Linked DNA regions of Yarrowia lipolytica. Each later gene encodes a partner of the first gene's protein in a complex. Links are inferred from orthologs where the notes say so. Each region holds a gene or a part of one and is shown on either strand. Other genes may lie near its edges. The genes, in order: YALI1_A03278g, YALI1_E02415g and YALI1_E38113g.

Region 1 (2,591 bases):
CGCGCTTTCGCTTTCCGCCGCACGTGACATGAACATGGATCATAATGTATAGTGTCACTCTAGATCGCAACACATGGGCTTAGTGCTCAGCCGAATGGGGCCTGTGGATCAGCTACAATTGGCCTATGAACAGAAGTGTGTGGTGCCCCATCGAATTGAAGATTCGACGTTCGAAAAATATAATAAATCAAATCCAACTGTATTGTATCTATTCTGCGTGGAACTGGACAGTATTTCAGTTTTTAGCCAATTTCTCGAAAAACAAAACCAGACTCTAGATGTAGAAAACAAGCGATTGAAAGACAAATGTACACATACAACAAGTTCTGTCTTTTGGAATAAGTTCGATGAAACAAACCACTCTACTCCTAAGTACACCATCTAATACTTACCACCACCGTCACGTTGACTATCACTACACCGACCTACATCAACTACTAACTCCCACCGTTCTCAATCATCATGAATCATGCTCAATATATACAATTTTCGCCTCCTCTGGTTTCGACTCGTGTCCAGTCGCTCATCCTTCAGGTTTGTGTGTCACGTACCGACACGTCTCTTACTCTCGATCGATCCAGTTCTTTCGATCGGGGGCATCCTCCTCGGCAACAGGGCCGGACTTGACATACTCGTTCACCTTCTTGACGGTGAGCTTGGGGTCGAGGGGACCCGAGAAGCCTCGGAAAGAGTTCTTGATGGGCTCCAGGGTGGGGGACACAAACGGCTTGAGCTCACAAGCCTCCAGACCGGCAGGAACGACAAAAGTTCGGACCTTGTCTCGGTTGATAATGAATCGACCCTTGGAAGTGGTCTTACCGACTCCACCGGCTCCATGGCCCTTGTAGAAGTTCTTGTTACCCTGCTTGGAGGTAAGGGGCAGTCGCTTGTTACCGTTTTTCGACACACCGTAGAACAGGTTGAACATGTACCCGGAACGGTCCTTCTTCCATGGTCGCAGCAGCTGGGTCACAAACGAGGGTCTCATTGTGTGGAGATGTTTGTGTTGTGTGTTGAATGGTTTTTGATGTCGCGGTGATGATTTGGGAACCGTAAAATTTCACTCTCACGTGACGGGACAAAATAAGCTTGCTGGGAGATGATTAATAAGCTTGAAGGATGGAAGCAAATAAGGTTCTCGTATCGGAGATAGGAGATAAGGGAAATTGAAAAGATGAAATGGCGGGAGCGGAGAAGGAGATCAAGGGTCGAATTTTTGAAGAAAATGCGTGATGGGAATTTGTTCATTGAAATGTCACATTTTTTGTGGTTATTTTGGTATCAATTTTAGAGATGTTTATTCCTTGTTGAGTATTCCAGTTGGAGGCTGAGATGATTCATTGGAGACAAAAAAACTATGAATAATTCTTTACATAGTACTGTATATTACTGATTTTACCCCTTTACACAGTTTTTATCTCTTTTTTCTAGCCTTTTTCGCCGGATATTTGATCATTTCCACTGTCTTATAGTCGATACAACTCTGGGACCCCACCATTCGGGCGGTGGTGTAGTGGAAATATCTGCCTTCCCAAATTGCAAGCAGGCCAGGGGTTAATTCCCCCCCGCTCATTCTTTTTTGCTTCTCGTGTGGATGTTTTTCTTGTTTGCTGAGTCAGGATTGGTGTGTCCGGAAGCTGATTGAAAAATGAGAATAATGACATACTGACTATAGTCTTGTATTGAGTGAGTAGTTGACAGTTGGAAAGATTAATTATCAATGGCCATAATCCAATGGGGCTCCAGTCTATTCCTTTATGGAACAGCTCTCTCCATGTCCCACATGTGTCTAGTCGCATCATATACACCTGAACATCCAGTCGACGATAGAACGAAATAGACAAACAGGATATGTACAGATTGTACGGCACTGTACGTACAGTACATACTGTATTTTGTACAATTATGCTAAATTATCATACCCCAGTCTAATGATCAATAGAAACTCCCCGAGAGTGATCCATTAGCACCAAAGGGAACACAAGGGGCTATACTGAAGGGATACATGCTAGATGATACATAGATGATACATTTTAGATCATATAACTATACGAAGATAGATCCTAGCCTGGGTGGTTTGATTCCCAAATACTCCCATTATGAGTGGACTTTCGGTAAAATAGTTGCCTGAACTCAAGACGTGATATGAACTTGACTTCGCAAGTGCTATCAAACTCCCCTTCGACTCCGTAGGATCAACTCAATGACCATAATAACTCGGTATTGGTGACACTATAATTAGGGGGTATTTAATTCTATTTGCACTTGCAGTTACGAGAAATGAAGACCGAGTTCTTCACCAAAGTGAAGGGCATTTCTAGTTGCTCGTACCTCTCACTCATATAGAGCTTGGCTCCACAAAATGTTCGATGCTCTAATAAACAATCAAAACAACCCTGATCGAAGAGATTGAGATCGAGCAACTCGTTCAGCTGACCAGGTCTATTCTTGGATGCTCCTCTCATGTGGAGTTGGCGTCATGTTGAACTGTCGAACTTTTATTTATGCATGCTAATTTCAACGGTTCTAATTATAGCCAACCTTAAATGCCTCGGAATATTCAAGGACACATGGCGACAACTGGATCAATA
Region 2 (2,498 bases), on another chromosome or scaffold:
TGTATGTATGTATGTTGTTATCGGTCGCCCATGTATTTGAGGTACTGAGGAAGACAGTTTTCAGGCATCAGAGAATCCTTGAGATCGTCTGTGGTGAATCGACCAGGCTTGCATCCATGACACTTTTTGGACTTGGGGCAATTGAAATAGGGGAAGTGGTAATATCCAATGTCCTTGAACCAATGGATTTGTGACTGGTTAGCAAATAGTCCTGCGCCGACAGAGTGCACGGGAGCATCTCCCCATCTCTCGTAAAAGAACCCTCCCTGTTTATCCAGATGCTCAAACCATTGGGCGTATGCATCGCCCCTGAAGAACTTCAGAGACGCGATTTCAAAGTTGGACCAGAAATGGCAAGTGGAGTATCCGCCAGCCTGGGCGTTCCAGTCTGGTCTGCTGGGGTTCAGCAAGAATTGCATGGCATTGTCTTTGTGCAGATACTCCTTGTTCTTCATCAAGAAGGATTTAGTTTCCGGCCATAGGGTGGCAACGGTTTTGGGGTTGTCAAACAATGCAATGGTGAAGCCATACACCTTGTCATTGTCCTCCATGTATGCAAATACATCGTAGTCGATGTCACAATAGTATTGGGTGTCGGGTTCAACGCGCCAGTACCAGTCATAATCGTCCATGGCCTTGTGCTTGTAGAACATACCCGAGTTCCATCTGCACATCTTGTGGTAGGAGTCCATGGCACCATATCGTACACCAGCATCTTCCAGCTTCTTGCCGGCCTTCTTGGCCTTGTCCTTGTCGATCCATCTGGGGGCGTCCCAGTCCTTCTTTTCAATCAGCTCAAACTTGACTTCAGAGTCAGTCTGTTCGCGCACCTTTTCCTTGAACTCGTCGGTGAACTCTTCATCATTGAAAAAGATCCAAGGGTAGCCGAATTTGTGATTGAATGTGTCCTCGACCTGCACCATGGCATCCACAATACCGTCCAGCTCTTTGTTTCGAACAAGAGAGATAAGAGCGGCTTTAGTTCGCCGCGTGTCAGTGGCGCGAACAAGAGGCTTGGCACTGACAGGCTCGTCCACCTCTTCAAGCAGGGGATTGTTCTTCGGCGTTAAGTCCTCTTTTGGTTCCGTATATTGCAGGAATGCATCGTTGGGTTGCTTGTAGATGCTCTCCTCTTTCAAGAAGTCCGCATGTGTTCTGGTCCAGTCATCTTGTAACGAGAAGTAGATCAGGAACACGAGCAGACCGAGCGAAGCCGTCACCAGCAGCAGGAATAGTCTTCTGACTATCAGCGGGGTCATATTGTTAGGATGTGGTCCTGTCTCAATCGATTATAGTTAATAAACCTGTCGCGACACGCGAACACTAATCTAGTGTGGGCGTTGTAAATATGTCCCAACCAGGAATCGAACTGCGGGATGGAAAATTCCTCTTCCATACTTGGTGAGAACACAGATACAGAACACACACCTCATCACACAATGTTTGGGCCTTTTCGACAGTCTATGGTCACCTTTGGTGGCTACGTCCAGTGAGTATCATATATGAGCGACACGAATGAAAGTGTTGCCTAGCTATGCGGGATTTTCCAGCCACTCAAACATCATCTAACCATCAGCAAGCAGCGATACCGATGGAGATTGTCTCCTACACAGAAGGCTGGCCAGCGAAAGCGAATGAAGGCCGTCGACTCAGTCATGGATGTTCTGCGATCTAGCATGGAGAAGCTCGGCGTCACTCCCAAGTTCCTCATCAAGGCTGAGACCGAGTGCCCTCCTTCTTCGGCCATGCTCCCCAAGGACAAGTACACCGTTTTCAGCAAGAACCACAAGGGTTACCGAAAATCCGTTCACCGGGTGCCCAACTTCACCAAGACTACCAACCGAAAGAATCCCCTTGGTTTCTAAAATCCCAACTATTGGCCCTATACACTTGTACATATTAAATTATCTGGTATGATGGGAAGATCCAGCTGTGGATCCGAGTGCTGAGATTAAAGGGAAGTAATGTTATTCATTGAAAGTACAAGTACGTAGTACTGTACAAGTCATTGTAGTGTAGCTAGTTCGTAGATTTTAGTTACAAATACTATAATGTTTCCGCTCTATCCGTAACACTTCTGTGTATTTGCATGTGGTAACAAATCTTTTGGAGCAAAATTAAAGAGATGGTATACTGACATGATTGTGTTGATATTAAGCTGATGTTACTGTAGAGGTGAGAACACACTACAAGTACAAGTACAAGAATTGGTAAGAAACTATGGTTATGCGACCAGCACCCTCCACTATTGTACATCTCTCGCAGTAGCTACAAGTAGGGCGCATACTGTAGCATATCAATTTGCTACAAGTACCGACTTCACTCTGCTCTCATTATGTAATTATAAATTAATCGTCTATTTAAGTAATGCTCATATGACCCAGCCAACATTTTTTTCACTTCTTTCGCTCAGCCTTCCACTTGTAGCTGACATTTCCATCCTTGACCACCTTCTCCTTCTCGCCTCCCTTAGCAAGTTCTCGATCCAGATCCAGACG
Region 3 (2,902 bases), on another chromosome or scaffold:
GTCCGCCCTCGGTGCCGGTGTCGTCTACGGCTTCGTTCACAACCGAACCCTCTACTCCCAGGCTGAGAAGAAGGTGGCTGATGCCAAGTTCAAGAAGCAGGAGAAGCTCATTGAGCAGGCCAAGGCCGAGTGGGCCCGACTCCACCCCGCCCCCGTCGCCTCCACCGGTGTTGTTACCGATATCTCTGACGACAAGTTCGACATTGAAGCCTACCTCAACCACGCTTTCCCCGAGAAGGCCTAAGCGTATTATTTATGCATCGAAAAGCTCGACGAGCATGTAATTAATTGACCATTTGGACAGGTTATGAGGCGAAGTGGCTTACCAGCGGTTCTTTTCCCTCTTTGGTGGCACGCCTTGCGCAGCTCCCTTCAATTTGATTTATGTATGTGACTTGAATGTGGGTTGTAGTTGAGTGTAGTTGGACACAGTATGACGTACTACAAGTACAAATGGTAGATGGAGCCTTGAATACCAGATACGAAAAAAGTTCTCCATGTTCAATTGATTTAAGCCACCCTTTAGATCTGATCTTTCCATGGTTATCTTACAATATAGACATGTTGATGTAACTCTTCACATTACGAATACAAGCACGAGGTGCTTGTTCTGATTCTGACTATATACACTTATCGGGGAACGTCCTCGCCAGTTCTGGACATTCCAAACACTCGGCCGCTTCCAAGGCCAAACTTCTCCCGCAGGCTCTCGGCAAACATGTCGAACCGGTTTCGCCAGAAGAAAGCGCCCACAGAGGTCAGCTTATGCTTGTCGGCAAAGCCCCGGATGTCGAAGAAGTCGGAATGCGAAAGAGAGTCCTTGACGTCACCGTCCTGTCGGAACACCCACAGAGACATTCGGTGGTCTCCAGAGTTCTTCTCGGGGGTGGAGGGCACATACTTGACCAGAGTGTCTCCGAGCTCGGGCTTCACAAGAGGCTGATCGACGGAAATGGGCACGTTGGACACGGCCCAGTGGACCTTGGTACCAAAGGACTCGGTCTCAGGGACGGGGTAGTCGGGATCAACCAGCAGGACTGTGTACTTGGCGTCCTTGGGGATGTCCTCGAATTCCTGGATCTCGACGATGGGCAGCTCGGAGGTGAGCTCGGTGGATTGCAGTGTTCCGGGAGTGATCCACTTGCCCTTCTCGTTGCCGGGGAAGTTGACTCGAACTCGAGCCTTGGCGTCAATCACGGGCATGGTGTCGGGAATGACATGCATGGTCTCTAGACTCTCGACCAGCAGAATCTGCTCGTACTTCTTGTAGTCGGCCTCGGCAAGATGTCGGTAGACGGGGTGATTCATATCGACATTGCCGTTCACGTGGTTCATCATCACCTGGGGGTTGTGGACCTCGGCCTTGCCCATGAGCTTGATGTACTGGTCCTTGAGAGCCTTGTCTCCAGAAGCCTCGAACTCCTTAGCAATCTCCTCGGCCTGCTTCTTGATGGCAGCGCTCTTCTCCTCGACAATCTTCAGAGCAGCGGGGAAGATTGCATCCAGACCAGGGGGACTCTTGTACAGAGCTCGCTTGTTCAGATCCTTGATGGAGGTGTGTGCTCCGGACGTGGAGCCGCCGGTGAGAATCTGGGCCAGCTTCTCGTCGGCCACCCGCAGAGTCTCGGCAGAGCCACTGTTGTTGGTGATAAATCTTGCTCCTCGTGGCGCCAGCCGAACAGTCGATCTAATCATGGCTGCTGTGTGTGAAGATGTGATATTGACCTGTGGAATTTTTCAGAGTTAAAACATGCACATTGGGAGGAGAGAGTGTAGGGATGGAGTGACAGTGATTCAGGTGGTGCTATAAGTACTAATAATGACAGATCAGCTGAGGTCGTTTCAAAGCAATAGATTTTTTCTGTGTCATTATTCAAAAGTGTGTCCTTGGCCAAGTAGTTTTCTCTATATAAGTACTTGTACCTTCCATATTTTTTCTTGAACATGTTAAGCTTACTAAGCCAATCATATACTTAGAATGAACTCAATTTCGGTACATGAGCGTACATACAGTAATGGAGATGGGGTGAGTGTACGAGGCGGCTTATTGCTGTAATAGTGATTTAAGAGTAAAAAACGAAAATATAAATATAATAATTCGTTCAGACTAACGATTTACTGTGATTTTATTATATTTATTAAAAATTCTCCTATGACACTTATTGAATGCCTAACAGCATCTCCCACTGCGCTTAATTCATGCTGAACTGACATGACGTGTGCTGTTCAAGTACAGCTGTAACTAACATTGAAATCACCACCACCAGCTCACAAGTTCGCCACATGCCATGTTGTTAAAGTCCCTGGCATTGATAGCAAGCTCGTCGCTCGCAGCAACCTTCAACATAGGAGACGATCTCTTTGCCGACCCACAATTCACAGTACAGTTCCACAACCGACCATTGCGACAAGCAGATGTCCAGAACGGCCTGCTACCGCATCGAGATCCGGTATATGGCCATCCCCTGGGGTACGAGATGATGCAATTCAACGGCACAAACCACATCTGCGGTATTCCGGAAGTCACGACCACGAAGAGCTCAAAATCACGAGAGGAGGGAGAACTGTCGCCAACAGAGGCCCGAGACAGAGCTTTGGAGCTCATGTTGCCTCTTCTGGGTGACTGTCTCTTCTACGAACAGGGATTCTTCTCGTATCGTTTCTGTTACGGCTCGGGAGTCGTTCAGTATCGAAGACATGGAGACAATTACTTCCCTCGAATCTATCCTCCTCCTCAGGCAGACGATTCGCCCACGTTCGTGCTCGGTAGCTTCGAGAAGGACGATACGACCAACACGGTCACCAGTGCCGGAGGAATCCCCTTTCTGGCCCATAGACTCCGTTCGGGAACCCATTGTCCTCTGACCGGCGCCAACCGAGAAATCGAGGTTCAGTTTGTATG

The links.
Region 2: YALI1_A03278g (region 1) and YALI1_E02415g share a complex: the UniProt entries of both Saccharomyces cerevisiae proteins name them as parts of the mitochondrial large ribosomal subunit. The link is inferred for Yarrowia lipolytica from reciprocal best matches to the Saccharomyces cerevisiae genes MRPL27 and MRPL31.
Region 3: YALI1_A03278g (region 1) and YALI1_E38113g share a complex: the UniProt entries of both Saccharomyces cerevisiae proteins name them as parts of the mitochondrial large ribosomal subunit. The link is inferred for Yarrowia lipolytica from reciprocal best matches to the Saccharomyces cerevisiae genes MRPL27 and MRPL35.

What each region holds. Positions count from the first base shown.
Region 1 is NC_090770.1:326,258-328,848, reverse strand, and holds YALI1_A03278g (mitochondrial 54S ribosomal protein mL41), read right to left. Parts: upstream 989-2,591; coding exon 563-988; downstream 1-562. UniProt on the Saccharomyces cerevisiae protein: Component of the mitochondrial ribosome (mitoribosome), a dedicated translation machinery responsible for the synthesis of mitochondrial genome-encoded proteins, including at least some of the essential transmembrane subunits of the mitochondrial respiratory chain.
Region 2 is NC_090774.1:240,127-242,624, forward strand, and holds YALI1_E02415g (mitochondrial 54S ribosomal protein mL60), read left to right. Parts: upstream 1-1,439; coding exon 1,440-1,489; intron 1,490-1,576; coding exon 1,577-1,865; downstream 1,866-2,498. Other genes in the region: YALI1_E02413g (uncharacterized protein), read right to left, coding at 18-1,259; YALI1_E02432g (uncharacterized protein), read right to left, coding at 2,397-2,498. UniProt on the Saccharomyces cerevisiae protein: Component of the mitochondrial ribosome (mitoribosome), a dedicated translation machinery responsible for the synthesis of mitochondrial genome-encoded proteins, including at least some of the essential transmembrane subunits of the mitochondrial respiratory chain.
Region 3 is NC_090774.1:3,810,152-3,813,053, reverse strand, and holds YALI1_E38113g (mitochondrial 54S ribosomal protein mL38), read right to left. Parts: upstream 1,696-2,902; coding exon 631-1,695; downstream 1-630. Other genes in the region: YALI1_E38131g (uncharacterized protein), read left to right, coding at 1-244; YALI1_E38107g (uncharacterized protein), read left to right, coding at 2,289-2,902. UniProt on the Saccharomyces cerevisiae protein: Component of the mitochondrial ribosome (mitoribosome), a dedicated translation machinery responsible for the synthesis of mitochondrial genome-encoded proteins, including at least some of the essential transmembrane subunits of the mitochondrial respiratory chain.